Notamacropus eugenii: one gene and its partners. The protein of the gene in region 1 binds, or shares a complex with, the protein of each later gene. Links are inferred from orthologs where the notes say so. Each region holds a gene or a part of one and is shown in the gene's direction. Other genes may lie near its edges.

What was found.
Region 2: TADA2A (region 1) and KAT14 share a complex: the UniProt entries of both Homo sapiens proteins name them as parts of the ADA2A-containing complex. The link is inferred for Notamacropus eugenii from reciprocal best matches to the Homo sapiens genes TADA2A and KAT14.
Region 3: TADA2A (region 1) and DR1 share a complex: the UniProt entries of both Homo sapiens proteins name them as parts of the ADA2A-containing complex. The link is inferred for Notamacropus eugenii from reciprocal best matches to the Homo sapiens genes TADA2A and DR1.
Region 4: TADA2A (region 1) and YEATS2 share a complex: the UniProt entries of both Homo sapiens proteins name them as parts of the ADA2A-containing complex. The link is inferred for Notamacropus eugenii from reciprocal best matches to the Homo sapiens genes TADA2A and YEATS2.

What each region holds. Positions count from the first base shown.
Region 1 is NC_092873.1:376,158,961-376,166,436, forward strand, and holds the start of TADA2A (transcriptional adapter 2-alpha), read left to right. Parts: upstream 1-4,472; 5' UTR 4,473-4,677; coding exon 4,678-4,680; intron 4,681-7,476. UniProt on the Homo sapiens protein: Component of the ATAC complex, a complex with histone acetyltransferase activity on histones H3 and H4. Required for the function of some acidic activation domains, which activate transcription from a distant site. Binds double-stranded DNA.
Region 2 is NC_092872.1:593,125,004-593,132,204, forward strand, and holds the start of KAT14 (cysteine-rich protein 2-binding protein), read left to right. Parts: upstream 1-4,179; 5' UTR 4,180-4,358; coding exon 4,359-4,617; intron 4,618-5,865; coding exon 5,866-5,984; intron 5,985-6,736; exon of another isoform or gene 6,737-6,979; intron 6,980-7,201. Other genes in the region: protein PET117 homolog, mitochondrial, read left to right, coding at 1,147-1,242, 3,888-4,037. UniProt on the Homo sapiens protein: Component of the ATAC complex, a complex with histone acetyltransferase activity on histones H3 and H4. May function as a scaffold for the ATAC complex to promote ATAC complex stability. Has also weak histone acetyltransferase activity toward histone H4.
Region 3 is NC_092873.1:268,273,128-268,280,506, forward strand, and holds the start of DR1 (protein Dr1), read left to right. Parts: upstream 1-4,360; coding exon 4,361-4,580; intron 4,581-7,379. UniProt on the Homo sapiens protein: The association of the DR1/DRAP1 heterodimer with TBP results in a functional repression of both activated and basal transcription of class II genes.
Region 4 is NC_092873.1:54,145,522-54,152,597, reverse strand, and holds the start of YEATS2 (YEATS domain-containing protein 2), read left to right. Parts: upstream 1-4,069; 5' UTR 4,070-4,247; intron 4,248-4,524; exon of another isoform or gene 4,525-4,627; intron 4,628-4,785; exon of another isoform or gene 4,786-5,178; intron 5,179-5,315; exon of another isoform or gene 5,316-5,528; intron 5,529-7,076. UniProt on the Homo sapiens protein: Chromatin reader component of the ATAC complex, a complex with histone acetyltransferase activity on histones H3 and H4. YEATS2 specifically recognizes and binds histone H3 crotonylated at 'Lys-27' (H3K27cr).

The sequences.
Region 1 (7,476 bases):
ATGCCACTAGCATCCTCTGGGTTCAAATCTGACCTACCAAATGGAAGGTGTACGTCCATCCTGGAGCAGCCCAAAACAAATAAGTAACACAAATAGCTAGCTTTCCCTCCTTTCAGGAGTATCACCATCACCATTAGTATCTCATTATCTTTGGTACACCTATGTTAGCCTCCCCTGGCTGATAGTGCCTACTGAGCTCACAGCAATCACCTAGGTCCCGCAATGCTTCCATGTAGTTTATGTCTCCAATGTCTTTTTTCATTTGCCATTGTGAAGTAGCACATAATCCCAGAGATGCCTGGAGTAGGGGCAAATAAGAAGGAGAGGGGGAATGAGGATATTCTCAAATTGTTTAAAATCTAGCTGAGAGGATAAATGCTGCCTTCTCTTTGTCTTCATCTGCCCCAGGGAACTGATGGTACTGTAATAGTAAGCACCCCAACATACACAGGGGGACCTGCTATCACAGGTTCTTAGATCAGCATTTATAAAAGGAAAGGCAACTTTTGAGGGGTTAAAAATCACTTTAATCAAGCACATGTATCATTCAGTTAGTTCAGGGGAAAAGTCAGCACCCTGAACTTCAGAGAAAATACAGAGAAATCAAAGATAACAGACATGGCTTCCTCTGTCTGTCCATAATCAATACACACATTACTATTCTACAAACAGGTCCAACTGTCTGACCATAGTTATGTGTGTGTTCGTCCTTCATTGCCAAAGAAAACCATAGTTACCAGAGAAGGAAGCACCAACATCTGGGTTTTCCAAGCCAGGGGGCTTCTTAGTGGCTTCCGAGAGTCCTCCTCTGGCCAAACAAACACTTCCAGTAGGTAAGCCCCAAAGTAAAAGCTCACCCTCGGAGCAGTTATACACTTCTCAGAACCAGAGGGCATGACCCTCTGACCCAGTGCCTCAACAGAAAAAACAAAAGGTACTTGGGACCCTCCTACAAATCAGCTTAAGTTTCCCTCAATGGGCAGACCTATCAATGTGTGAGGAAGATATTCTTTAATCACATTTTTCAATCAGAAGCACTTTTAGCAAAACAAAAACAGCAAAAGATTCTACTGCTTGGCCTTACAGGTAACTACTCTGTAAGTCCAAGCACTGACTGCCTAGCAAACAATCCAAAGGAGAAGGTGGCACAATGGTCAGAATGCTGGACCTAGAGTCAGGGAGACCCAAGTTCAAATCTGACCTTAGTGACTAGTTGTGTGATCCTGAGCAAGTCACTTAATCTTTGCTTGCCTCAGTTTCCTCAACTGTGCAATGGGGATAACAGCAGCACTTATCTCCAAGGGTGGTTGTGATGATCAAATGAGATATTTATAAAGCTCTTAGCAAACTGCCTGGCCCACAGTAGGTGTGCTACTATGCTTCTTTTCCTTCCTTTCTCTTGGCATGGCATACTGGTCCACTTTAATTTTCTTGTTCAATGACCAGTACTTTACATTTATTCGTATTTTCCTATTCTTCTCCTGTACTGCTTTAGGTAAAGCATATGGACTGCTAGACTTTCTAATGGTAACACTGCACAACAACTGCTGTCCCTTTCCTTCCCTCCCCAACAACTAATTCTTCCTTGAATAGCTAAACACATTACAGACACTATTTCCCAGAATTTCCTGCTATTTCACAGCCAGTGAGTGTCAAATGTCTGAGGTGACATTTGAACTCAGGTCCTCCTGACTCCTGCACTGGTGCTCTATCCACTGCACCACCTAGCTGCCCCAGTTAGTATAGTACTTGAACAGGTAAAAGCACTTGATGAATGTTTCTTGACAGATTGCTCTACAAGACTGATATCCTTTTCTGACTTCCTCCATGATGTTTTTTATGCTACTTCCTGTATACAAGTCATCTTTGGTAATTAACATAAGCCATCTTAATCATCAGGTCGGCTACATCTTTCTTCATTTTCCTTTGAGGGGTCTATCAGTTTGATTTTTTCTGTGATTTCTGTGTTCCAGAATTGACTGCCATATGGCACTGAGAGGAGAATATATATATTTTTTAATTAATTAATTTATTTAATTTTTAACATTCATTTTCACAAAATTTTGGGTTACAAATTTTCTCCCCTTTTGTCCCCTCCCCCCCCAAACCCAAGCATTCTAATTGCCCCTGTGACCAATCTACTCTTTCTTCTATCATCCCTCTCTGCCCTTGTCTCCATCTTCTCTTTTGTCCTGTAGGGCCAGATAGCTTTCTTTACCCCTTTACCTGTATTTCTTATTTCCTAGTGGTAAGAACATTACAGTTGATCCTAACACTTTGAGTTCCAACTTCTTTACCTCCCTCCCTCTCCACCCCTTCCCTTTGGAAGGCAAGCAATTCAATATAGGCCAAATCTGTGTAGTTTTGCAAATGATTTCCATACTAGTTGTGTTGTATAGGACTAACTATATTTCCCTCCATCCTATCCTGTCCCCCATTACTTCTATTCTCTTTTGATCCTATCCCTCCCCATGAGTGTCGACCTCGAATTGCATTCTTCTCCCCATGCCCTCCCTTCTATCATCCCCCCCACCCTGCTTGTCCCCTTGTCCCCCACTTTCCTGTATTGTGAGATAGGTTTTCCTACCAAAATGAGTGTGCATTTTATTCTTTCCTTTAGTGGAATGTGATGAGAGTAGACTTCATGTTTTTCTCTCACCTCTCCTCTTTATCCCTCCACTAATGAGTCTTTTGCTTGTGAGAGGAGAATATTGTTAAAAAAGAATGGATCAGCTCTTAGTAAACATCTAATTAAGGAAGAACTACTATACACGGAGAGCCATAAACTTGACTCAGTATGTATGTACAATAGAAAAAAAAAATTTTTTAAGGGAGTGAATAAATTAGTGACATAAAGAGCTAGTCTGAATGCCATAGCGTCAAGAATCCTAAATTTTAGTCAAGAAGACTTGGGTTCTAATCCTGTATCTGACATCTGTGACCTGGGACGTTCTCCTCTTTCAGCTTCAATTCCCTTATTTATAAAATGATTTCCTTGAGTCAGGTGATGCCTTTCCAGCTCTAAATTCTCTGAACTATAAATAACTAATTAAAATTGGGAGAGCCCTATCTTTAGGGATTCCAAGGAGGGCAATTACTTTCTCCCACATCCCAACCCTTTTAAGGCTTCTATTAGTAATCAGAACACTGGTAACCCCCAATTGTTGATCATTTTAAGGACCAACTATTTCCAATGGGAAAGATGATATATTTATTATCCTTGGTTTAGAGACGAAACCACCGAGGTCCGGAGAGGGTAAATAAATGACCCAGGACTACAGAAAGTGCGCTTTGGAAGGGACCTAGGAGCCCGCCCAGGTGCGCCCAAGGTCACAAAGCTGTCAGCCAGCAGGACGGAAGCGCTTAGCACAGCTCCTAGCACCCACGAGGCGCTTAACCAACGGAATCCAAGCACACCTGGAGCTCCCCTCAAGGACTTCTAGTTTAGACCTCTGGATTGGACTTTCCTTGGTCTCCCCAGCGTCTCTCTTCCTCTGGAAATTGCGTGAATACATTTTGTACTGCCCTGAGCCCAGGATAACGTAACCTCCTTTCGGAACGGGGCTGCTCCAAACCAAAGTAACCCACGCGTTAAGGGCCTCCTGAGCGCAGGGCGCTGCCCCAAGCACCGGCAACACAAAGAGACAGTCCCGCCGCTCAAGGGGCGGCTTCACCCCAAGGGGAGAGACCACCCGCAAGCGAGGAGGACCAGACGAACCGGAAATAGCCAAGGGAAGGGCGATGAAGATGGATTTAGAAGATTCCACAGAAAGTCTTAACGTAAGATTAGAGAGGGCGGGGAAGGGCCCTGGCGGATGGCAGGACTTTGGCTGAGACTTTAAGAAAGTCAGGGAAGCCACAAGACGGAGACAAGAAAGAGCACACCTGGCACGAGAGACAAGACGTGAATAATAGCCCGGAGTGTGGAGGTGGAATATCCTGTCATCATAGCCTTAGAGCCTGGCACAGCGCTTGCCCGACTCACAGGAGGTGCTTAGTAAATGCGTAGGGGCTGCACGTGGCAAGCGATTTCTGCCCGATCTGTAGGGTGAGCCTCATTAAAAGCACCTGCACACCGGGTAGTCACTCCAGCAGCGCGCCCAAGGCCGCGGAAGTGCGCATGCTCGGCGGAGCAGCGCGGGGAGGGGCCATAGGCGCGCGCGCATTCCTCGCCTGCACACGCCTGCGTGCGCGCGAACGGCTCTGGACTTCCTGGCCCTGGAGGAGGGGGAAGCGGCGAGGTGAGGTGGCCGGCCGCGGGGCCGAGGGGCAGGGGGTGGGGCGCGGGGGCCCGGAGGCGGGGGCAGGAGGGGAGGGAGCTGGCGTTCCCAGGCGAGCCGGCGCGCGGGGGCCCGGGCCGAGGCTGGCGTCAAGGCCGACGTAGAGGAGTGATCGGGGAGGCACGCGTGGTCACGCTGCCGCCGCGCCGGCGGGAGTGAAGCGGAGGGGGGCGGGGCAGATGGGCGCGAGCTAGCGCGTGAGGCCTGGGGGAACGGCGCACGTGACCCCGCTGACCTCCGCCGGCAGCCCCTCCCCTCTGCAGCCTTGCCCCTGCGGCTCCCCCCCGCGGCCTCAGCTTTTCCATCTGCGGAGTGGGGGCGGCCATTCTGCCTGGACCCCGTAGCAGAGCGAGGGAAAAACACCTGTACTGCTCCAATTCTGTGGTCTTTTAAGTTTATGGTAATAACTGTACGATGCGTTATGGTTTGTAAAAATGTTTTACCAGTGATTTCTCATTGGATACAGCAACGCCGGGAGGTGATGAGGAAACTGAGGCAAACAGGTTAAGTGACTTGTCCAGGGTCTCATAGCTAGGACATGTTGGAGGCAGGTTGGCGCTCTGGCTGCTGTGCTACCTGGCTGCTACAGTAGCAATTACTAACCCTTTATTAGAGGGGGTAGATTTCAGGCACCAGGAACCAGATCTTCCCGAGTTCAAATCCAGCCTCAGACACTTAGGAGTTGTGTGACCCTAGGCGAGTCACTTAACCACTGTCTGCCTCAGTTTCCTCATCTGTAAAATGAGCAGGAGAAGGAAATGGTAAACCACTTCACTATCTTTGCCAAGAAAACCCCAAGCAAGGTCATGGAAAGTGTGATGCAACCAAAAGAAATGTGGATTTTAAGGTTTGTGAAGTACTTTTCAGTTTTACGTATATTGTACAACAATATAGCCCTTCTGGGTATGTGGTGCACATGAGGAAACTGAGGCTTGGGAATGGTAAGTGAATTGTCCATGGTCACCCAGCTAGCATGTGTCTTGGGTAGGATATGAACTCATTTCTGGAATTCCAAGTCTGGTGCTCTAGTCACACTTCTCAGGAATCCGGTTGAATTTGATTAAATGTTTCCTTGAACCTGACCATTTTCCTGCCTTTTCATGGCCTCAAGTAGGGCAGAGGTGTCAAACATGCTGCCTGCTAGACTCCTGAATTGCCCGAACCAGATAGTTAACAAAAGTACAGTAAAATATAGATGTTATCATGTACTGTTTAGTGGACCTCTCACTTTTAATTTGACTCCCACTGACAATGGTGGAAAGAGCACTGAATTTGATATTAGAGGACTAGGGTTTGAATCTCAGTTCTGCTCACTGTCTATGACCTTTCCCACTTTTGGAGGGGCTTGATCTTGTGATTTGTGGCTTGAGGAGTTGGAGTTAGAGGATGCCCTCTAAAGTCCCTTCCAGCTGAATCCTGTGCTCTCCTGTGGAGTTGTTACGTCATGTCTCTGGTCCTTCATGAGTAAGAGTCCCTCTGATATCTGGCCACCTGGGGTGATGGAGAGCTGCTGCCTCTCTGATTTCTCTGCTGCAGTAGTTAACACATCTTACTCTGCTCATCCCTTGATCTGAGGTCCTTTACCTTTCTTGTGTTCTGGAATCCTTTTGCAGAATTTGGTGAAGTCTTCTCAGAATCATGTTTTTAAATGCACAAAATAAGTTACATAGGATTACAAAGGAAACCAATGATATTGGAATACAATTTATCAATTAAAAAATAAAGCTCCAGACTCCAGGTTAAGAACTCTGGATATAGAAGGAGCAGAATCCAAACCAGATAGTTCTCCATTTAGTTGTTGGGTTGGTTGATAATCAGTCAATCAGTTTGTGCACATATTTACTTTTGAAGACCCACCCCTCCTGGAAATCGATTAAATCAGTTCAATCAATATACGTAATTACATGCCTGTGCCACAGATGCATGTATTACATGCTTCCTATGTTAGGAGGTGAAGATATAAGGCTAAAAAACAAACAAACAAAAATTTTTGCCCTCAAGGATATTACATTCTATTGTAGACATTTACACAGATAAGTAAATACTCTTAATTGGGGGTGGGACAAGGAGCAGTGACCAATGAAATAAGGAGAATGAGGAAAGGTTTCATGTAGACGGGTACCCTGAGCTGAATCTTGAAGGAAGCACAAGATCTAAGTGTGGGAGGTAGGAAATAAATACATTCCAAGAGAAAGGGTTACAGCCTAGGTAAAGACTCAGAGGTGGGAGATGATTAGTACATGGCTAGTCCTATAAAGAGGATATAAGCTAGTCTGGCTGGAATAGAGGGTGTATGAAGGAGTACAATGTGATCAAAATATGAAAGAGCAGACTGGGACCCATGTTGTTCGATTCTGGAGAGAAGTTTGCATCTCTCTTCTCCTTTTCTCTGATGGATTGCTCCCCAATTAGTTCTTTTTCGGTGGAATTATATGGGTGTTGTCTGTATTTACTGGTGAATAATTCCCTTCCACTGAGAAAACATCAGGGTCAACCAAATGATTCTTGGAGTCTAAAAGCCAGTCCACTGTCAGTGGAAGGTAATGTCTGGCTTTTGCTTCCATTTTCACCTTCAAAGAACCAAGGTGATAACAGCTCACACTTACCTAGCATTTTACAGAATGAGTTTTTCTCAGAACAACCCAGTGAGTCTAGTGAAAACAATTATTACTCCCATTGATAGGTGCTGAAACTGAGGCTGAGAGAGATGTCAATCAAATCAACTAACATTTATTAGGGCAGTTAGGCAATGCAGTAGATAAAACATTGGCCTTGGAATCAGGAAGACTATCCTCATGGGTTTAAATCTGGCCTCAGATACCTGTGTGACCCTAGGCAAGTTACTTAATCCTGTTTGCTTCAGGTTCCTCATCTATAAAATGAGCTAGAAAAGGAAATGGCAAACCATTTCCAGTATCTGTGCCAAGAAAACCTCAAAAGGGGTCACAAAGAGTCAGAAATGACTAAACAACATTTATTAAGCACCTGCTCTATGTCAGGTACTAGGTGCTCAGAATACAAAACCAAAAATCATATAGTTCTTATACTAAAGGATTTGTATTCTATCAGGGAGACAATGTGACCAGATATAAGTACACGTAAAATAAATACAGTGACTTGCTAATATTCATTGGCAGAACTGGAACTGGAGCCTAGGTCTTCTGGTTCTTTAAGTCCTGTGCTCATTCCATTTCCC
Region 2 (7,201 bases), on another chromosome or scaffold:
TTTTTAAGAAATCTCATTCTTGGAACAACCAGCTTTGGTCATTTTATCAACCATTATGGAACCTTGAAAAACCTCTTACCTCTCCCCTTCCCTCCCTCCAATTTTCCCTTTTTCCAGTTCTGAAACAATCAAATCAATGCTGCCGTTGATACTGAAAAAGGTGTATCCATGAAGGTTCCATTTACTATCCGAATGCCCTTCTAAATTACAAAACCCTGTTCCCCTCCAGTCATTCAGTTCCCAGTTTATGTTGTCACCTCATTAAAAAGAAAGCTCCCTGAAAGCAAAGAGTGTTTTAGCAACCCTTTTCATATTCCCAAGGCTAAGCACAATGCTTGGCACAGTTAGGTGCTTAATAAAACATTGTAAAAATTCATTCATTTATTAAAGTGGAATACAGAAGTCAAAAGGGGAAGGAAAGTCAACGCTTTAAGTCTCCAAGGAAAAATTCTGAACATTGGCCCCAACCCGTCCGGGGACAAAGTCTAAACCAGGTCTCCCTACCCTGAGTGAAATGCCAAATATCTTCCATTAGCCTGTGACTCTTTATTATACGCCTTAGAAAAACTAGAAGGAACGCTTGATCACTGAGGACCTTTACTTAATCTGGTGCCTACTAAGGTGGCAAGCTTTGGGCATTGCTATAAAAAATTACCATTTTAAACCTTTATACAATTTCCATGCCGCAAAACTCTTATTTAGAAAAGGTCCGTCTAGTTTTAGGAGCCCATTTTCCCTAAGTTTCTCCCTGGAGTAGTTTTAGACTTTTTTTAGGTGGAAGAAAGCGGAAGGAGGGGGGGTATGGAAAACGAAAGATGAGATGAAGGGTGCTATGGAGCTGCAATCACGTGGCCAGAGGGAATCAGAACACTCCACTCTAAATCGAGACAGCGAGAAAGCAAAGCGTGATCGATTTCTCAGCTCACTATTGCTTGCGCCTGGAATGCGAGGTCGGAGGGGGGACTTTCGGCGTTCGAGGGATTAAGCCTGGAGGAGGCCCGGGGACGCGCACGCCGGAAGGGGCTCGCCACCGTCGTGCACGCTCGTCGCCGCAGCCCAGCTCCCCGCCTTCTGGTCGTCCGGTGCTTCGCTCCTGTGGGTAACGGCTGCTTTCGCCGCCTCTCCGCGGCCAGCTGCCCGGGAGGGATGTCGAGGAGCTCCAAGGTGGTGCTGGGCCTCTCTGTGGTGCTCACGGTGGGCACGGTCGCCGGGGTGCATCTTCGGCAGAAGCAGGACCGAGAGGTCAGGACCACGTGATATAGCCCCACTTTCCCCTCCCCCCACTCCCCACCTCCTCCCCTCCTGGGAGGGGCGGAGTTTCCTTGGACGTGCTCCGCACGCGGCCCGCGGGCACTAGGCGACTGCGGCTGCGCGCTCCGAGGCCCCGCCTCCCGGCCCGACCTGGCTCGGGCCCGCCACTTTCACTTCCTCTTCCTTTTCGCGTGGCCTTCGCGTTGCTGCAGCCCTTTTCGTCTGCGCTCTCACCGGTCGAAAGCCCAGCTGCCTTTAGTGGGGTTTTGCCGCCGTGATCGTGACAGTGGTAATGCTGCTGTGTTCTCCGTTTACCCACCTACAAAATGGGGCGAGTCTTAGTGTTAATACTCCGGGGGTTTGGTGTGGAGAATGGGTCGGTAAAGCCCCAAACGCTGTACAAACGTGAGTCCTTTCACACGTGTTTGTCTCTTTTGCCCTTCTTAGGCTATAAGCTCCGTAAACCCAGGGTACCCTTGTGGATAGAGCTCTGGACCTGGAATCAGGAAGACCCGAATTCCAATTCGGTCTCTCACACTTACTAGCCTTGCGGGTCGCTTCACCTCGGTCCGCCCCCGTCTTTATCTGTAAAATGGGGTAATAATAGCACCTATCTCTCGGGGTGTCTTGTGAGATGCTTATGAATGAGATGAGTAGTTGTAGAGTGTTCTGTAAACCTTGTGAAGCGTTAACGTTAATGCCAGCTGCTACAATTAATTGTAACAAAGTACATAATGTGTTCCATAACTGTTACCAATTTATTGTTACTATGTTGTTTTAGCTCATTGGAGCTGTGACCAGGCATGCTAGACAGGAAGATCTGAGTTGGAATCTTGTTTCACACACTTATAACATTGAGCAAGTCACTTAAATTCAGTTAGCCTCAGTTTCCTCATCTGTAAAATGGAGATAATAATAGCTTCTACCTCACCAGGTTGTGAGGATCAAATAAGATATAAAATATGTAAAGATATTTACAAACTTTATTGTGCCATTTGGGCTAGCTATTTTATCACTTGCCCCAGGGTTACACAGCTAGTAAGCATCTGAAGCCAGATGGGCACTCCAGTCTTCCTGACTCCAGACCTGGCGCTCTATCCATTGTGCTACCTACCTGCACTCCATGCAAATTTATCAAGCTTAAATTTGTTTCCTTTCAACTTGCATTCTTTGCTTCTCACCAAAAAAGAACAAATCTAATCCCTCTTCCTTGTGAACAGTCCTTACAGTACTTGAAAACTGGTTTCATTTTCCCCTGGGGAGCCTATTTTTTAGACTCCTAGTTCCTTCTGCAAACACTGGAGTGGCATAACCTCAAGACTGTTTAATCTTGTAAAATGTGATGGGCCTAAAGCTTCTAGGACAAAGATAGTCTCTTTTATTTTCCTATAGCTAGTGCTAAGCAATCCAATCTTAAAAGTTTACTAAGCACCTAATTTATAAGGAACTGTACTAATCACTGAAAATACAAAGGCAATGGAAACCAAGCTTTGCCTTAAAGAAGTTAATGTTCTACTGGGGGATTTAGCATTTAAATAGGTATGTGCTAGATAACTTGTGACATCAAGTAATTTTTCCATACATTCTTGATGAATAAATGACTGAAGGAATGCTTACTAACAACCTATTGTCCTTTACTAATCCTCCACACTGCTAGTATCCTTCCCAAATTATTCTTATTTTAACTATTCTGTATTTGTTTGCTTTCTCTATACTTACATTGTATATTTATGTACATATGATATAAACGTGTTTTATACTTATATTTACTGCTTCTAGTACATTACACAAGTATGGGTGTATATACATCTGTAATGATGCATACACACATCATTGTATCCTCTGTTAGAATGTAAATTTTTTGAGAGTAGGCATACATTCTTTGTATCCCTTATGCCTAGCATACTGCTTGGCAAGTCATAGGTGCTGAATAAATGCTTGTTTGATTACATATGAGCAGTTTTCAAGTACTGAAGGTTGTAATTTTTTTTCTTCATTTGATCAACAAAATGATTCCCAGTGATGAATTTTATGGAGTAGTCCAGTACTCTTTGTAAATGTAAGTCACCTTTTGTGGGGAGGTTATTTTTAGTATTCTTTATTTCTTAGATTATTTTTACACCTTCCCTTTTTTCAACAATTTCACCTGAAGTAGATTTTATTATACTTGATACTTGTAACAAATAAAAATTCTTTTTTCCCAGTTATTTATTAATGAGTGAGGATAATTTATGATAACTGAATTCTTGGTACCCAGTTACAGTAATTAAAAGTTGTAGTTAAAGCAGTGTGTTTCCTAATTGTGAAATCTTACTCTGGTTTACACTGGTTTTAAAAAAAAAGCCTAAGTAGCATTATTCTTTACTTTCAGTTCGTTCTTAAGCCTTCAGAAGTTTTCTGGGAATATTATGAAAATGTTTTGTTAAAATATGTGTTAAAATACAAGATTTAAATGGTGTTTATTAAATAATCTGTATTATATTGCATATTTGTAGTTAGGTAAATTAGAACAAACACTACTTGGGTTTGTACTTGGAAGTCTGAAGTGCATCTTGGTGACATTTTTTTTCTTGTATTACTAGTGGGTGGAAATCTGGTGTTCAAGGTGTTACTAAAGTTCCTTCCTTGTGTTTTAGAGGCTTCGAGACGGAGTGTTCAGAGACATAGAGAGGCAAAATCGGAAAAAAGAAAATGTTCATCTTTTGGAAGAACAGATTATTTTGACTAAGCATCTTGAAGCAGAAAGAGAGAAGATGTTATTGGCAAAAGGTTCTCAAAAAACATGAGTTGTGAAGTGAACGAAATATTAATGAAACAGGCTTAGATTGTTTTGGAATTTTTTTTGTTTAGCTATGTCGTGTCATAAGTTAAGTGATTGCTTCCACCCATGTAATTTTTTTTGCCCTTTAAACATTCAAAGAAAAAGACAGTGGGTTATAGCACTTAAGTTTTAAAATTGCTTTAAAAATTCCTGCTATTTAAGTGATTTTAATTGTGATCATTCACTTTTTAAAGACAGCCTCTTTTTATCTGTTATGAACAATATTAACTGGGTAACCATACCCCAGTGTTGTCATTGAAAAAAATAATCTTCCTGGCAAGAAAGGATGGATAACAATGTCCACATTGGTGGGCTGATGAGTCGTCATGATGATGATGCGACGAGAACATCCACTTCAGAAGGTCTGGAGGAAGGTGAAGTGGAAGGGGAAACACTCCTGATTGTTGAATCTGAGGATCAAGGCTCAGTGGATTTATCTCATGATCAGAGTGGAGATTCACTGAATAGTGATGAAGGGGATGTGTCATGGATGGAAGAGCAGCTATCTTATTTCTGTGATAAATGCCAAAAGTGGATATCAGCCAGTAAGGACCTTTTATTTTTTTCTTTCTTTCATTTTCTTTCCTAAAGCTTAGTGGTTTTTTTTTAAAGTAACAATAATTGAAAACTGATTTTATTGACTAAACAGAACTTGAAATTTTCAAGGAGGCTTTCATAGTAATATAAATTCAAGTAATATCTTCTTGTTACTTTTCCATGTTGTTAAAGTAGTTGTTATTGAATCTTTTGGTAACATCACAAATCAAACATCATACCTTACTAAGTAGTTAGCCATATAATCTAATACGGAGATAGGGATTCTTCTGTTGGACTTTAGTATAGTATTGTGTGTTAAATGGATAAAAATTATTCCATTGTAGTGTAATTTAGCTTAAATCAAAATCAATGTCTGACAAATTCAGCAGGGTATATTCTTTGTAGGTCCAGTTTGAGAAGGGGAGTTGTCCTGTGTTTTGCCAAAAGTTATGCAGTGGTTTATCATCTGCTGGAATATTAAAGCAATTTATTCCTGTAGAATCAGATAGAATGATATTTATTAAAAATGGATCTTACCCTTTTTTATGCAAATAACTTCAAACATTTTGGTCCTGAAAACTTGACTTAAATTGCCATTTTTTTCGCCTTTTATCTCTTTCCCGCTAAGTCTGTTGAAGTGTTAGATTAGAATTGTAAAGGTATATAGACGTTTTGAAGAGATGACCACTGGAGTGATAGATTGTTGAAAGTTATATAGAAGTTTTTAGGATAAGACTACTAGAGTGACAGATCATTGAAGGGAGAAGGAGGTTTGTCTCCTTGTCACCCTTTTTTTCGCTTACCACAATTTTCTCCTTGCATAAAATAATGAAAGTTTCAAGGTGAAAGGTTGGCATCATAGAGAACCCTTCTACCACTGGAAGAGTTTAGATGGGCAGCTGTTGTCCTTCAGCTTTGAAGAAGACCAAAATGACATCACCATAATAAAGTGAAATTTCAGTGTGTCCAGCTGTGACTGATCAGACCAATACAATCTCGGAATGTTTTATCACAGGTTGGGCACAGATAGTCCATGTGAATATTTGGGGTAGATATCCCAGATTTGCGCATCTTGCCTTTACTTTGTGCTTTCTCAATTCTGCTTTTGCTCAAAAAGCACAGCACCCTTTATGATGTAAGAGTTTAGATATGATCAAAGATAGGTAGAAAAAATTGAACTGATAAAATATGATAACCTTTTTGCCTGTTATGTTGAAAAACTTAAATAATTGTGTTTGCCTTTTACTTTGTTTTAGATCAGCTGAGGGAACAGCTCAGTTATCTCAAAGGTGATAACTTTTTTAGATTTACTTGCTCAGATTGTTCAGAGGATGGTAAAGAACAATTTGAAAGGCTGAGATTGACATGGCAGCAAGTAAGTAAAAATCTATTATAGAAGGTTGACAATAGTATCTCATGAAAGTTTGGTTCATATTAAAAGAAAACAACAATTTAAATTCTCTCTCCCTATGTGTATGTGTGTGTATATATATATATATATATATATATATATATATATATATATATATATATATATATATATATATATATATATATATATATATATATATATATGCAATACTTCAGCCTTAAAGATCTAGTTCATCCCTACCTTTTAGTGATGTAGACACTCTAGAAAATGGTTAAGTGGCTTGCCTAAGGTATTATAGGCAACAGAAAGAAGCATAAATAATCTGCCCGTCAAAGCTAGACTTATACCTTTTCTGGAGGTTGAAATAGCAACTAACTGTTTTAACAACAGCACCTCACCTCTCCTTTTGTTCTAGCTTTTGCTGATGTGATAGCACAGAGGAGAGGCAAAGTGGTATAGTAGAAAAAATACCGCTTTGAATTTGGAGAAGACCCTGAGCTGAAACTATTAGATTGTGTACTCTGGGGGCATTTTGGCCCACATAACTAGCTGAAAGTTATAATGGAAATTTTTTTTCCCTCCTTTCTATTAAAGTCTCAGCAGCATACCTTTGGTATCTGATTTATTTGGGTAGTTGCAGTAACTCCTAACTGCAAAAAAACTCTTGTTTTTTGAAGTGGTTCAAGACATCTATTTTCTTTTGATTGTTCTTTCCTGTTACACACTTGGATTTGAGCCACTGGCTTGCAGCATATGTGAAATGATGATGAAGTTTATCCATTCTCTGAGTGTGCTGCTTTGCCCTTCCTGCAGCTCTCAGCTCCTGTTCTAGGAACTGAGTTAAGTAACCTCCAGATGCCCTCCAGACTTGCAGTGTTCTACTGTAGATGGTAGGTGTGTGGTGGTCTTACCGGTAGGAAGGGATGGTGTCAGCAGGGGTGGAACCTTCTCTGTTTAAGGTGCCATCTTGCCAAGACGAATGACTGGTGTCTGATCACATGCTGCAGCCTTTAAACTGTTTCTTTAATAATGCCCATACATCTGAGTTATGAGTCTTTTAAGAACTTCTCTGGTCACTGTTCTCCTTACATATGGGTGAGAAACCGTTTTCAGACATTTGTGCCATCATCAGGCTTATGCTTTGTCTATAGATGCCATTAACCTGTATAGGATGTAAATAGATAAGTAGTAGGTAGAAAATTTGAGTATTTTTTTGGTGT
Region 3 (7,379 bases), about 110 Mb from region 1:
TGTTTAAATTTACATTTCCCTTATAATTGGTGATTTGGAGCATTATTTTAAATGGCTGATAGCTTCTTTTTTATTTGCCTGTTCATATTAGTTGACATATCTTACAAATCAAACAATTACCAGACACTTGCAAATTATTTTATATTCTAAACTGGTGAGGACCTTGGCTACCATCTAACTATCAACTTTTTGCTAAGGCAGTTTTTAGTTTCTGTGGGTCTCCTTGTTATGGTACTTTCTGTATGAATTTCTCTGGTTTCTGTGTCTTCTGTCTGACCCAATTTTTCATCATTTTGTTATCTATTTGATACGAAGATTTTTTCCAGTTCACAGCTTATTCTAATGACAATTGCTTACACAAAAACTTTTTAATTTTTATGTATTCAAAATTACCTATTCTCTTAAAATTATATCTATTCCTTAAAATTTTCTTCCCTAAACTTGAAACATCTGTATATTATCCTCAATTTTCTGAAAATGATGTGATCTTTTATATTTAGATCATGCACTCAATTGTAGTAGATTATGGTATGCAGAGTAGGAAGTTGGTCTGAACCTTATTTCTGCTAAATTACTTTCTAGCTTTCTCAGCAACTCTTGTCACTTACTATGTGTCTGAGACTGTGCTAATTTAAAAATATTTCATTTGGTCCTCACAATAACCCTAGGAGGTAGGTGCTATTATTATTCCCATTTTACAGCTGAGGAAACTGAGGCAGAGGTTGTGTTCTTTTTTGTTTGTGCTCTTGGGCTTATTAAACATTAGACTATTATGTTTATTTCAGTCTTGAGTACTTCTTCATTTCCCACCAATCAGTTTCTTAACCATTGCTAAAAGTTTTGACAATTACTGCTTTATAACACTGTTCACAATCTGGTAACTTTAACTTCCCCTCATTCCTACCTTTTTTCATTATTTCCTTTGAGATTCTTGACCTTTTCTTTCCTCCAAGTAATTTTATTATTTTATCTAATTCTATAAAGTAACTACTTGGTAGTCTGATTACAGACTAAAGTCTGTAATCTTTGGTTATTATATAATCACAGCTCGGACTACACGATCTTTTTCTCCCGGAAGGTTCTTCCATTGATTTGTTATCCTCATTTTTTCTTGAAGACAGATTTGACCACCCCTAAGTCACTGAATGGATGGCTCCATGAACTGACTGGTTCAAATTCGTCAGGCTGTTTAGTACGAGTGGACTGACTGGCTATTAGTTTCTACCAATTTGAGCTGCAGCTAGACACTGGGGGAAAAAGCCCTGCGTGCTCACCTCAATGGGCAAATACACTCAATGTTTGTCTTTTATAAACGTTTTATTTTTTCCTTCTGACAGTCATTGGCATCACAGACAAACAAGCCAATTTATGCATCACTTAATCCCAGTATGTTCTGGGGATGATTAACTTCAAAGTACTCTTGAGCAGTAAAAGTCACAAGGTACTTGGTATAGTGTGGAAATTGTGGTTGAAGGGTACCCCGGGCTGTTGTTCTATCTTCCTAATGCAATGCACTCCCCCTCTGCTTAATTCATTACAAGAAAAGTTAGTTCGCCCAAGCAGGCCTTGGTAGCTAGGTGGCCAAGTGGAGGGAGTGCCCCAGCTACAGTTAGGAAGACCTGAGTTCAGATGAGGCCTCAGACACTTACTAGCTGTGTGACCCTCAGCAAGTCACTTAACCCTATTTCTTCAGCTTTCTCATCTGAAAATGAGCTGGAGAATGACAAACCACTCCAGTGTTCTTCCTAAGAAAACTCTAAAAAAGGAATCATAAAGAGTAAAAAATAAGTAAATGACAACAAAGCCTTCATAAACCAGCTGACTACCTTTCTCCAACCTTAGGGATAAGGCTAGAATATTCAAACTGCTTCACCATAACAAAACTCCTGTGGTTTCAGAAGACAATACAAAAATCTGATAACTATTTCAGTTTGCAATCTGATGAACTGAAAGACCCATCAGGTTTAATGAATGGCTCTCTCCAACTTGCTTTTAAAAAAAACCTATAGCAGAGAAATTCACCCTTTTTGATATTAAAATAATACTTTATCATTGCTGAATGAGGGGACCTTTTCCTCACAAATCACTGTATGGAATAGTTTTTAAATTTTAAAAGCACTAACTTTGGAGAATTTGATGACATGCTCTTCCTGGAATAAGAAGTAGGATAAGGCATTTGTGAGAACTAAGCAAGGTTTGAAAATTGCACGTACGTTCCACAGGAATTGTCACTGTAACATTAAGATTTATCACAATATAAATATTTACCTGCCACGAAGGGTGGAATTTTATAGCATTAAAAACTATGTGCATTTAAATAAATATTACAAGTGTCTCTCACCCCTGTATTCCTTCCTGGTGGCTCCTACTCTTCTTTCTACCTAGCCCTTCCAGCATTTTTGTCTCCCCAGTGTATTATTTGCTTAAGATACGCCTATGATATATTCAAGCAAAGAGGGAGAGTGCCCTTGGAAATGCACTCCGGGCAAGCCAAATATCGAGGAGTGGCCTTGACTATACCATCAACCCCGATTCTCACACCATTTCTCCATAGGGTGTTAACTCCACCTTAGTCACCGTCAGCACCTGCTGACAAAATTTAAATTAAAAAACACAAACAACCAGATGCCACAAAATGGAGAAAAATAGCTTTATCCAGAGACCATGAAAAACAGTAACTCACATTTCTAGAGTGCTTTGCGAACAACCCCCTTGGGGTGGGTAGCCCAATTCCCATTATCCATATTTTGGAGATGGGTCTAGACTTGGGATTTTAGCAGCACGGGAGGCTTCTGGCATGGAAACTCCCTCCATCAATGCCGACTGATACTTGTACAACCCAGAGGCTTAGTGCCCTGCCAAGATCACACAGCTGGGAAGAGTGAAAGCAGCAGCGTCTCCAGCAGGCCCCCATTATCCACGGCATCCAAAAGCCTCCCATCCCCATTCTGATGGAAATCAAGGCCCAAAGGGGGCTCTTTGAATCACAGATTTGGGGCAGGAGACCTCACAAGTCCGTTCGTTAGCCCAGGCCTCTCAATAAACTGAGGTTTGGCACACACAGGTCCAAGGGGCCCTTGGGGAGGTCCAGCATTCTCTCCTCTCCGATACCCAGTCGCACAAGTATGCAGTTTTGGGGTGAAGATGGAGCCTAGGGCTAAAGGCGAACCAAAAGGGAGGGCTATTTTTTCGCCCCTCACCCTCGAACTGACACATAAAAAGGCTCTCGGCCCACGACGCCCCAGCGGCCCTTGTAGCCCTAAAGCCTGGCCCCTCTCCTAACACTTTAACTCCTCCGCTTCCTTCCAGAGCAGCCCGCCTTCCCCCGGCCCGGGCAGAGACGGGGCGGGGGCCGGGCACGAGATCCGGCTCGGCGGAGGGGCCGCGAGGAGCGCGCTGCCCTTCGGCTTCGAGATCGATTCTGCTCGGCCCCCTCCGCGCCCCCAGCCAAGGGGCTTCCTCCGAGGAGGCCAGGCTCGGCCTGCCCTCCTCGGGGTCCCCCCTAGGCCGCGGGGCCGTTTGGGACCGGTCTGGGGAAACTGCGCCGAGAAGTGGCCGTTGAGGCCCGCGAGGACGCCGGAGCCTGCCGCTCCGGACCCTTTCGAACGCCCGTGGGGGGGAAGGGCGGCAGCGGCTCTTCCTCGCCGGAAGTGAAGTAGGAGTTTAGAGGAGGCCGGCGCTTCCGGCCGCGCAAAGGCTCTTGGGAGCAGCTTCTGGCAAACCCTTTTGCCCCGGCCTCAGGAGAAGCCGTCTCTCTCTCCGCTCCGGCTTCCGCGATCTGCATCCGGGCTAAGCGGCCACGGCGGCCGCCACTGCGGCTCCTCGTCTGCCCGACTTCGCTCCGTGTTCTCTTCCCGGCGATAGCGGCGGCCGCCACGGCCGACATGCTGTGAGTCGGCGGCGTCGGTGCCGGTGCCCGAAGAATGGTTTGGTGGCGCCGGCGGCGGCAGCAGGTGGTGGCGGCGGCGGAGGCGGCGGCTGCGGCTCGGGCTCTCTAGAGCCGAGCCCCCTGCCTGGGGTGTCAGCCCGGTACGGCGGCCAGGCCAGGCCCCCGGATCGCACCAGGGTTCGGGGGACGGCGCCCGCCCCTCTGAGGAGGCGACTCTGAGCTGCCCCACTTCCCGGAGCACGCCGGGCTCCTCTCTCTCCCGTGTTCACGATCCCAAGTCACCCCTTACCCACTCACACACTCAGCACCCTCTCCCGGGCTTGTGGGCTTGTGCCCCGGCCGCGCCGCCCCCAGAGGCGGCCGGGTCCTCGTGTGAGCAAGATTGTCTGGTCTCTGCGGGCCAGTGGTCCAGAACCAGGGACTTTTTAAACCCCGGGAGAGAGAGAAGGGAGGGCGAGACGAGACGAGACGATGGCCTCTTCGTCTGGCAACGATGATGATCTCACTATCCCCAGAGCTGCTATCAATAAGATGATCAAAGAGACTCTCCCCAATGTCCGAGTGGCCAACGATGCCCGGGAACTGGTGGTGAACTGCTGCACTGAATTCATCCACCTCGTCTCCTCCGAGGCCAACGAGATTTGCAACAAATCCGAAAAGAAGACCATCTCCCCGGAACACGTCATACAAGGTAAGCGGGGGGCGCTGGGGCCGTGGAAGGGAGCCGGCCCCGGCTGCTTTCCTTTGTGCCGCTCCGGAGAGGAAGCCCATGGTGTGGGGCACCCCCGAGCGCGTCGGCACAGACATGGTTAATGATTGTGCCCCGCGACACCTCCCGCGGAGATAGTGGGTCGTGAGGAGGGGGCTCTCGGAGGGGTACGGTGAATGAGGGGATTCAGCACCTGCCCCAGGGCAGTCACCTAGATCGTAGCCCGACTGGAAAAGGAACACGAGGTTTCTGGCTTCATTTTTACAGACAGTCTTTAGTTTGGAGGGTTGGGATGGGGAGCAAGTGAACACCCTTCGAAATTTTTTGTTAGGAGAGCAAAAATGTTTAGCCTAAGATGGGTGTTTGAAAGAAAACCAAAGGTACCGTCTCTTCTACTGTGTGGAGTTCCTTATTACATGAGTACTTCAAGAAATATAAAAAAGTTTTTTATTTCTGTTGTGGAGGCAGACATAACTTTTCCGAAGAGGATGTTACTTTGGCCCTCGTTGCCTCAGTTTTGCGTACCCACAGACAGGTTATGAACTGGAAAGAGAAAGTATTGCATGTGGCCAGTAGCTTATAACAAGGGTTTTTACGTTAAATTTTTTTCTGTTCACCCCCTTGAATCACTCTCTCGGAGTTACACAGACAGCCATTCATGAACGGCACTTTGAAACAACTTCAGCAGTTAGCAGTAGAAAATGTGCAGGGTGCTGTCAAGTGTCAAGAGATGGAGATATTCTGGAGACTTAGTACATCACCATGGTCTTGGGGCTGAGTGAGTACTGACTGCCCTCCTTAAGGAAGGCAGTATGACACTTTTTTCATTTTTCTTTTATCCACTTAGTATTTGAAAAGTATTTAAATTTGAAATGATGACCTTATTTCATAATATAAATTTCAACCTTGCTAATTTGTGTCTCCATTGCTTCTTAAAAATTCAGTTAATCAAAACTTTAAGCGGGCTTCTAGTTTGCCTTTTACCTTTTGAGTTTCACAGTTGCTATTTCTATATATATGGAAATAGTCTTATCACAGTGATGTGGAAAATACTTGCACTCTAGCATTGTACAGGTGTGGTATCATGCTAATAAATGTACCTGTTACTGCACTGGTGACATTTTACAGTCGATATTGACAAAATAATTAAATGATCCATTGTAGTTCCTTTTTGGTATGTTGAAAGTAGGTTTAAAATATACCATGACTTCTCAGTAAGTGAAGGGGGGGGACATGACCAAACTCCAGTAAACCAGGTTGACTGCTTTAATAGATTCATGGTGAAAGTGTATTCTTTTAAAAGCTTTTTTGATTTCATACTTAAGCCCAAAACTTGAAAGGTAAAGATATTCTTTTGTTTATATTGCTATTTTGTATTGTGCAACTACTGAAACATTTTTTCTTATACAACATTATCCCCCACAGAATACAATTTCTTTTTACAATTCATATAAAAATGGAAAGGTTCCTTTGTCAACATTGACTGCCATGTAAAAATACAAGAGACTTTAAAGGAATCTGCTTTAACATTTTTTTCACACCTTTGAAATGATGATCTTTCCAAAATCTAATAACGATTTGCAAATGAACTTCTTAATAGAGTTTAATCAATTTTAGAGGTTTTTTTTTTTTATGTTTTTTTTTTAATGTTAACACAATAGCTTGAAAGTGCTGTTGTAGCAAACAATATTAGTTCAACATTAGAATATGTTCAGTTCTGAATACTTATGGTTATACCTGTCACTAACCAGTGAATCCAGAATTAAGAACCTTAGTAAAAGTTATTTTACTAATTTATAAACAACAATAATAGGGGAAGGAGAAAAGGAATGAACATTTATATAGTGCTGGGTACTGTGTCCAGCACATAACATTTTTACAAATAATGTGATAATATTATGATAGTAGTTGAAAGTTATACTACTTTGAGAACAGTATCTCATTTGAGTCTCATAATGGCTATTTGAGGTAGACTATTTTATGTAAAAGAAAATTGAGACTTAGAGAGAAGTTTAGTAACTTGCAAGGGATTGTGTGCAAATTTTCTTGCTTTCAGTGCTGCTTACATGACATTATGGGAACTGCTATAATTAATTGTTCCTTTTTGGTATTGATTCTATTTATTGTAAAATCACATTTTATTATAAACACCATCTCTATTTCCCTTCCCCACTCCTAGAAATTGGAAATGATATAGACTATTTGGGAGGTCCTTCACTGCAGGTATTTTTTTAAAAATTGTTAAAAGATGTGTTCTTAGTGTTTTTGCAGAGAAAGAATGTCTCTACATTTTGGAAACTTAGGGTTGGCAAGTATGGGCAAATTGCAGATGAAAATATAGATGTGGATATGGTGCCTACTTTGTTGTAAGTATTTGTTTCAGTTAACACCATTTACACAGATGAGGAAGCTGCACAAGTCTTGTGGTTTTAGGTTGCCGAAGAATTTAGACTTTTAGTGGTGGGTTCTTTAACAAACTAGATTAGACTTTTGCCTCTGGACATTTTGCTTGCCACTTTCTTAAGAGTGGGAGCACTCTTAAGTGGGAATCCACTGTAAGGGTGGATTCAGCAAATCATCATTATTCAGTCATTAGAAATAAAAAGATAAAGAAGGAAGGATTACAATTAATCTGAATAGATCTGTAAAGTAGCTAATGTGAGAAAAAGTTTATGATATCAGCTGTATGCTTTATTTTGAAAAGTTGTTTTATATCAAGTTGAGAGAAAACACATTTAGTATTTTGTGTGAAGTCACAATTCATTACAAAAGGTTCTAAGT
Region 4 (7,076 bases), about 320 Mb from region 1:
TCTTAAGCTACACAATAATTGCTTTAGGTAAATATCATATTTGTTTCCTGTAGTGCAAACAAGGTTCCCCACCTTTTAATTTGTGTAGTGAATACTAGGCAAAATGGGAGAAAATGAGAACACTTTAAATAGTGATAATTTACTTCTCTGAAGCTGCTGTGGCCTAAGGCTTATGATTGATTTCTCTTTGGTTCCTGCGTTTTCCATAGCTTTCAAATATATTAATTGGTCGCATCTTAGTTCCAGGGATTCCTTCGATTGCGTATTAAGCAGTACTCTAACAATTGCTTGGCAGAATGTCATGGGTGGTTTTATTTCTCTTCTGTCTTCAGACCAAGGTGCTTATTACAACATTGAGATAACCTCCTAATCTGATAAAATTTCATTTGAAATACATGAGGTTATACTTGCATATCAAGAAATTACATCCACTAATTTTCTTTTTGCCATCTCACTATACGTTAGCACCATCCTTCACTAGGATTTTCTTTTCATCTTTCTTGAAAGCTGTTACTTTTTGCCAATTTATTTATGGAAAATTAAAAACTGTTGAGCTAATCCTTTTTTAGGGGTTAACTGGTAAAAACAAGTTATCCGATTGGACACAAGTGCAGCCTCGCCGGGAGTCCGGAGCAGTGATGGCCGTTTTTATTGTCAGTTTGGAGTTCCGGGGTGCCTCAGCATTGAGAAAGATCACCTTGTATTTCGGTGTCTTTAAGGTTCTGTTGTAGCCCCTCTGTACTTGTGTTCTATTTCAATGTACTTGCAAAGTTTTCTTCAAATTCTAAAAAATGTAATGTACTTAATAAATTTTATCTTTTAACTTCTGTTTGCAGTAAGTTTTTCTTCACAGAAATATCTCTCAAATAAACCTCTGAGGCTCCTTACAAATGTGGATTTTGTGATAAGTCTGGAAGAGTGAAGATTAACACAAAGTAGCCCACTCTGTGCTATCTTACAGGAAAGCCTCTAACGCTAGACCCTGTGGGTGATGGGTTAGTTGTGAAATAAGCCTTTGGCCTTTTCCTAACCTGCGCTTTTAAAGTTAATATTCAGCTGCATCTTTTGTATCAATTTAGAATAAACTTGATTTTATCTGTCATCACACTGTTCAGAGCAGAGATATGAAAGCACAGGGAACAGTTCTGGGAAATTACATCATTTACTTACACTTAGAAAGTATTCTGCTGGAAGAAAAATTGATATTTTAAGCTTAAGAATTTATAGTGTTTTAAATATTCTGGGCTAAATAATGGGTTGTGGATGATCATGCCTTTCCACTCCCGTTATTTGACCAGTCAATGTTCTGATGTGTGTAATGGGAAACGAGGGAACTTCTTGGTTGGAACCTCCTCAGAGGCTATATTAACTAAGCCTGAATGCCGAAAGGGTTGTCTAAGCTGGAAAAGTTCTGAGCCCAGACATGGTGGCCATGAAACCATTTTAGAGCAGCCCACCCAAGCAGTAGTTCAACACCAGGAGGTTGGTTCTTTGGTTAATTAATGTAAAGACCATTAATAACAGCTAAAATGTCTTTAGGGCTTTACATGTTATTTCATTTGGTTTAGAGGCTGTAGCTTTCTTTAGTCACCCTATTCTTGGCCTTCACTGGGCATCAAAAGAGCTGCCACCCCCCCCAAACATCAAGTATTTTGGAAAGCAATTTGTCTAGCAGCAAATGGTTTTTAGGGTGATTTCTGCATTTTCCACCCCTCTTCCTGACTTAAAAGAATCAATAAATATGTATATTGATAAAACTAATACTTTTGTGCTTGACATTCTGAAAAATTAAAGAGAGACAACTGCCTTTTGCCAGTAAGAATCAACAGCGCCAAGTCATGTTGAATCTGGAGCTGAAGGGAGCTGGTCAAGGGGTCAACCAAGGTCAGCTAACCTGAGGCAGAAGCAGCCCCCTCAGTTTAAAGTATGTTGCCTGCACGGCAGCCCAGCCTGTTATTTTTGGACATAAAAGGTCTGATCTGACTGAGTACAGGAAAATTAAAATTCAGCAAAAGCTGAAGACCCTGATGTGTGCAAAGCATAGGCATTATTACTGAGCAAATAGGGATAAACGACGTCACTGAACCCCCGGCTTTCTCTGTGCCATTCTTACCCAGCCCGAGGGCTTGGAACCAAACCACAATGAGATCTTGAATCCCCAGCTCGGCCTTTCCATCTGGCTCTGGTCTACCAGACCTCACCATCCAGTCTGCACCTTCATCCTCCAGACTCCCAGGGCTGTCCCATTTGACCTGCTGTCCCCAGGGACTAGAGGCCTAGCCACCCATTTTTCAGCTGACATTTTTAGTGACTTTCCTAATTGAGAGCAGGATCTGGCTGTCTCTTTTCCATCCTTTCCTTCCTCATCTTTTTTCTCTTTCCCTTTCTTTTTCCTTTCTCTTTCTTCCCTAGCTAAGCCAACGTGTGTTGTATAACAATATATGCTTTTTCATTTATTCAGCTGTAGTATAATACAAGAGCACTAGATTTGGAGTCGTGACCTGGTTTGAGTCCCAGCTCCGGTACTTAATTTGACCATTTCTGCTCTAAGCCTCCAGTGCCTTGTGTGTCATACACAGCTGTAAATCCTGTGAAACCTTAGTATATAAACCACCTTCTCCCTGAGTCACTCCACGCCTCATTTTCTTGGGGGCGGGGGGGAACAGGAGGGAAAAGAGGCTATTTAACCAAATTAAGACCAGAGGGTTCCTTGGCAAAGGGAAGGGAAGAGCTGGGGTTGGATGGAATTAGGGATAACCAAATTGACTGGTGAGTCATCTTTTTCCACTGAGGGAACTAAAGTGTCCAGCCGCCTGGACCTTTGCATCAGCCATCCCGGGCCCCGGAAGGAGCCGGAGCAGGGCTGGAGACCCACAGGAGGCCCTCTAGGTCCTCGAGTCCTGTGGCCGAATCCAGACTTCCCGGAACAAATCCCCTTAACCAAAGGATGTGTCCTGTAAAGGTTGGCCTCCTCCGAAGGCCCCAGAAGGCCTCAAGGCTGCAGGTTCCCCCCTCTGGCTTGGAGGTTGAGGGTCCAAATCTGACCTGCAGGCTTTTCCAGCTCCTCGGGGCGCACCGCTGCCATTTCCGTCTGTCTTTAGAACAGCCTTTTCCTGTCTGCACTTTCCAAGACTGAACCAAACAGAATGCTCATCTCGTGGCATTCGGGGTGGGCAGCCTTCTGATGCCCGCTACGGGGGCCCGGGCGGGAGGGGCCTGTCACGGGCGGCTGCGAGGCTTCGCCTAAGAAGCGGCGGATGAAGGTGCCGGTGTCCGGCAGGACGAGGCCCGCGGCGGCTGCTTCCCGACCGAGACGCCGGGGCGGGCTCGGACGGGGGAAGGGGCCCCGAGCGCAGGGCGCGGCCGGGCCCTAGGGCAGGCGGAGGAGATGGGGCGAGGCCCCGGCTGTCCGGGCACGGCGGGGCCTCGCGGGCCTGGTCATCGGCACCGGGCGGCCGCGGAGGGCGCTTTGCCACGTTCTCGCCCTCCGGCGTGTACGGGCCCGTCTAGACCGGCCCAGCGGTTTTCACCGGTTTTCCTTCATTTCGGGACGCGTGCCATCAGCTCCCCCTTGGAATGGGGGGCTGGTGTTTCCCCGAGGGCTCGGGGGGCTGCGGGTCTGGGGGTGGCAGGGGGAGGATCCACCTCCTCCGAGGCGCCTGGCCCCGTCCCAAGAGGAAGATTCCCTCGTCTGTGTCCAGCCGGGGCGCCTTAGGGGAAGCGCCAGGCGCGGTGCCCGGTACACAGTAGGCGCTCAATAAAGGCTTCATCCATTGTACCGCGAGCTCCCAGAGGGCAGAGCCCTCGCCTTCCTTTGAGCCCCGCATACAGCAGGCGCTTAAAACACACACGCTGCGGTGGACTTCCGGCCTCCGAGCCCAAACGGAGCCCGGCCTGGGGCTGCAGCGCCCCCTGCCGGGCACCGCTAGCGCTCTCACAGCTCTGCTCTCCCCCACCCTCGCTCCCCACCCCCGCTCCTCGCGCCTGCTCCCGGCCCGGCCCCGCCCCCTGGGGGCCCGAGCGCCGCCGCCGACGCCGCCGCCGCCGAGCGCGCGCCCTTCCGCGCGCGTGACGTCCGGAGCGGGCTGGGCCGGGCCGGGCCGGGCCGAGCCGAGCCGCGCAGTTCGTTTCCCGTCGGGCGCCGCGCCGAGCTGGGAGCCTCGTGGCGGGGCGTGGTCTAAGTAGCCTCTCCGCCCTGCGTCTGCCGTGCTCCGGCCGCGGGGTTCTGGCCTCGCACTCATCCAAGGGTGAGTACCCTCTGAGGGGACAGTGCGAGGGAGTCCGGGGCCCGGGGGTCGCGAGGAGGCGGGGGGGAGAGGAGGGGTGCGTGTGCGGGGGTGGGGGGAAGGAAGGAGGGGAGCCCGGTGACGCGTGCTGTTGCTCTGGCTTCCGCGCGTGCGCGGGGCGGCGGCGCGTGCTCCTGCTCCTGGGCGCGCGCGCGCCCTCCCGCGGGAGCCATTGTCCGGGCGGAGGGGGAGGGCGGGCGTGTGCGCGTGCGCGTGCGCGGCGGCGCCCCTCCCCCTCCTCCGGGAGGCGGGGCTGGGGGCGGGCGGTCCCGGTGTTTGTGTGTCTCCGCGAGCGTGCCTGTGCTCGGCCCTGTGACCCCTCCCCTTCCCCCCCCCAGAAGGTAAGCTCCCCGAGGGCAGGCGCTCTTGGGATTTGTCTCGAGCTCCGCCGGCTCCCGCCGAGTCCCACCTTCCCCTTTACAGATGGGAAAACTGAGTCCCGAGGGGGTCCAAGGGCATAACGCTCCTCAGCGCGGGGTGCTCCCGTGGGTTTGCTCACCTTTGAGGGAGGCTCGAGTTCCAATCCCGCTCCGGCCTCGCCTGGTCCGTGACCGTGGGCAGGTGTCCCCCAGGCTGCCGGCCTCCGTTTCCCCCACTTTCCCGAGTGATGTGAGGGTTCCGTGGGACATATTTGTAGGCGCTTTAAGCGGCGGCTGTTATTGTTAGATCTCATCGAGGCTCCCCGGACCTGCGCGGGTGGACCGAGGGGGCCCCGAAGGCAAATCCCGCGCATTCCTGCCCGGGAGGCCCGGGCCTCAGTTTCCTCGGCTGTAAAATGGGGTCTCCCGTCTGCCCATCTCCCAGAGCCGGAGAGGGGAGGGCTCCCGAGAGGTGAGGTCTGCGTGGGCTTGGTGATGGGGGTGGGGGCTTCTGGGGGGGGCCTGGAGCTGGCTGCCCCCCCCCCCGCCCCGCCCCGCCCCGCCCCTCGTCACCCGTTGGCTCCGGGGCTGGGAAACCTGACACCTTTGTTCAGCGTGAGCGCTTCTGTCCTGGGCCTTTCTAAGGCGTTTGGAGCGTTATCCCGGAGTGCGAGGGCTCCTCCTGGAGCTGGGCCGGGCCGGGCCGGGCCGGGCTGGGCCGGGCTGGGCCGGGCTGGGCTGGGCTGGGCTGGGGACTCCCGGGAGAAAATCCCGTCCGCTTAGGTAGATGGCATCTTCTGCAGAGGTGAAGTGACTGGCCTAGCCCCCAGCGGAATGGGCCGGAGCCGAGCCTTCCAGGCCGGGCCAGCTTCGTCAGTGCGCTGTAAATCCTTGATTGATTCTGGCAAACACCCTAGACGTGGGATGTCGTAGCTAGGTTTCTGTACCTAAAACTGCCTGAGTGTTCACCATGGGTGGGCTGCCCAGGAGGGCATTCAGCCCCCTGGAATGGGGAAACTTACTTAAATGGGGAGATTTTATACGTGTGTTTATGAATGTGTATACGCGTCATTTATATGTTGCATTAAACGTACAGAATATTATGTATTAACGTGTCACAGATAATATACTGTACATTATTAGATGATCTACGTCTAATTTAAATAACAGTGCAAGAGATAAGTAACAGAAGAGTAGTGCCATGGTCGACAAATATCTATCTGAAAATTTTAGGTTTAAAACTTAGAGTCGATATATGTATAATATGCCCAGGACCTTAAGGAGACCTCTCTGTACCATCTAGTCATGCTGGAAATAATCTCTCCTCTGTCCTTTGATTTTGCACCTTGCCCTTTGGCTCTTTGCAGTCTGATGCCCTCCCCTGCCATTTCTTCTCACAGGTCTCACTTCTCCCTAGTCACCAACTGTCCTCAGTCTTGTTTTTTCACCTTCCTGAAATATTGGCTCCTGTTGGTCACCTTGTCCATTCTCTTCTGGATGCCCTGCCTGTTGACTTCAGAGACTCTGGATGCCGCCCGGGGCTCTTCTGGCAGCTGTTTCTTCTCTCCTGTGGCCACCTTTTCCCCAGCAGTACTGTCCTTGGCCTTTTTCTTAGTCTAAACACTGTTCCTTGGCAATCTCATTTACTCCTATGACTTATAACTCTTACCCTGATGCACACTGCACGGTCAGGCCTGATGGATCCTCCAGGTCCCAGCCTCCTAACTTTAGTTGCCCTGGGGGACATCTCCACTGTGATCTGGTCCTGCCTGAAACTGAACTTATCTCATGCTCTGTACAATGGGCTCCCCAAGGACACCACCACTCGCAGGCTCCCATGTTGGAAATCTTGGGTGTCATTTTTGTTTTGATTTTTGAAGGTTTTCTTAAAAACCATTAACATATAATGAAGCAGAATTTGGGAGCCTCTCAGTGTTGACTTTATACTCTTACAATCACGTGTAGTGTTCTTCTGGTCCTACAAAGGGGCAGCATGTCCTTGTCTGTTCTCTGGGATCTTCATTTGATTTTCAGTTACAGGGAGTTTGATTTCTTTTTAGTGACATTGCTGTAGACATACTGTATCTTGTTCTTTTGATTCTGTTCATATAGCTTGATGTCAGTTCCCACAGATCTTCCCAAGCTTCTTTGAATTCCTTATTGGGGCAGTGGAGATAGTGCTGAGCTGCCATCAGGAAGATTTCAGTTCAAATCTTGCCTCAGACTCTTACTAACTGTGAGACCCTGGGTCAACCTCTGTTTGCCTCAGTTTCCTCAATTGTAAAATGGATAAAATAATAGCAGTCTCACAGGATCTATAATAAAAATCCTCACAGGGTTGTTCTGAACTTCAAATAAGATATTGAGCACTTAACACAATTCCTGGCACATATAAGTGCTCAATAAATACTTGTTATTTTCCACCTCTCCT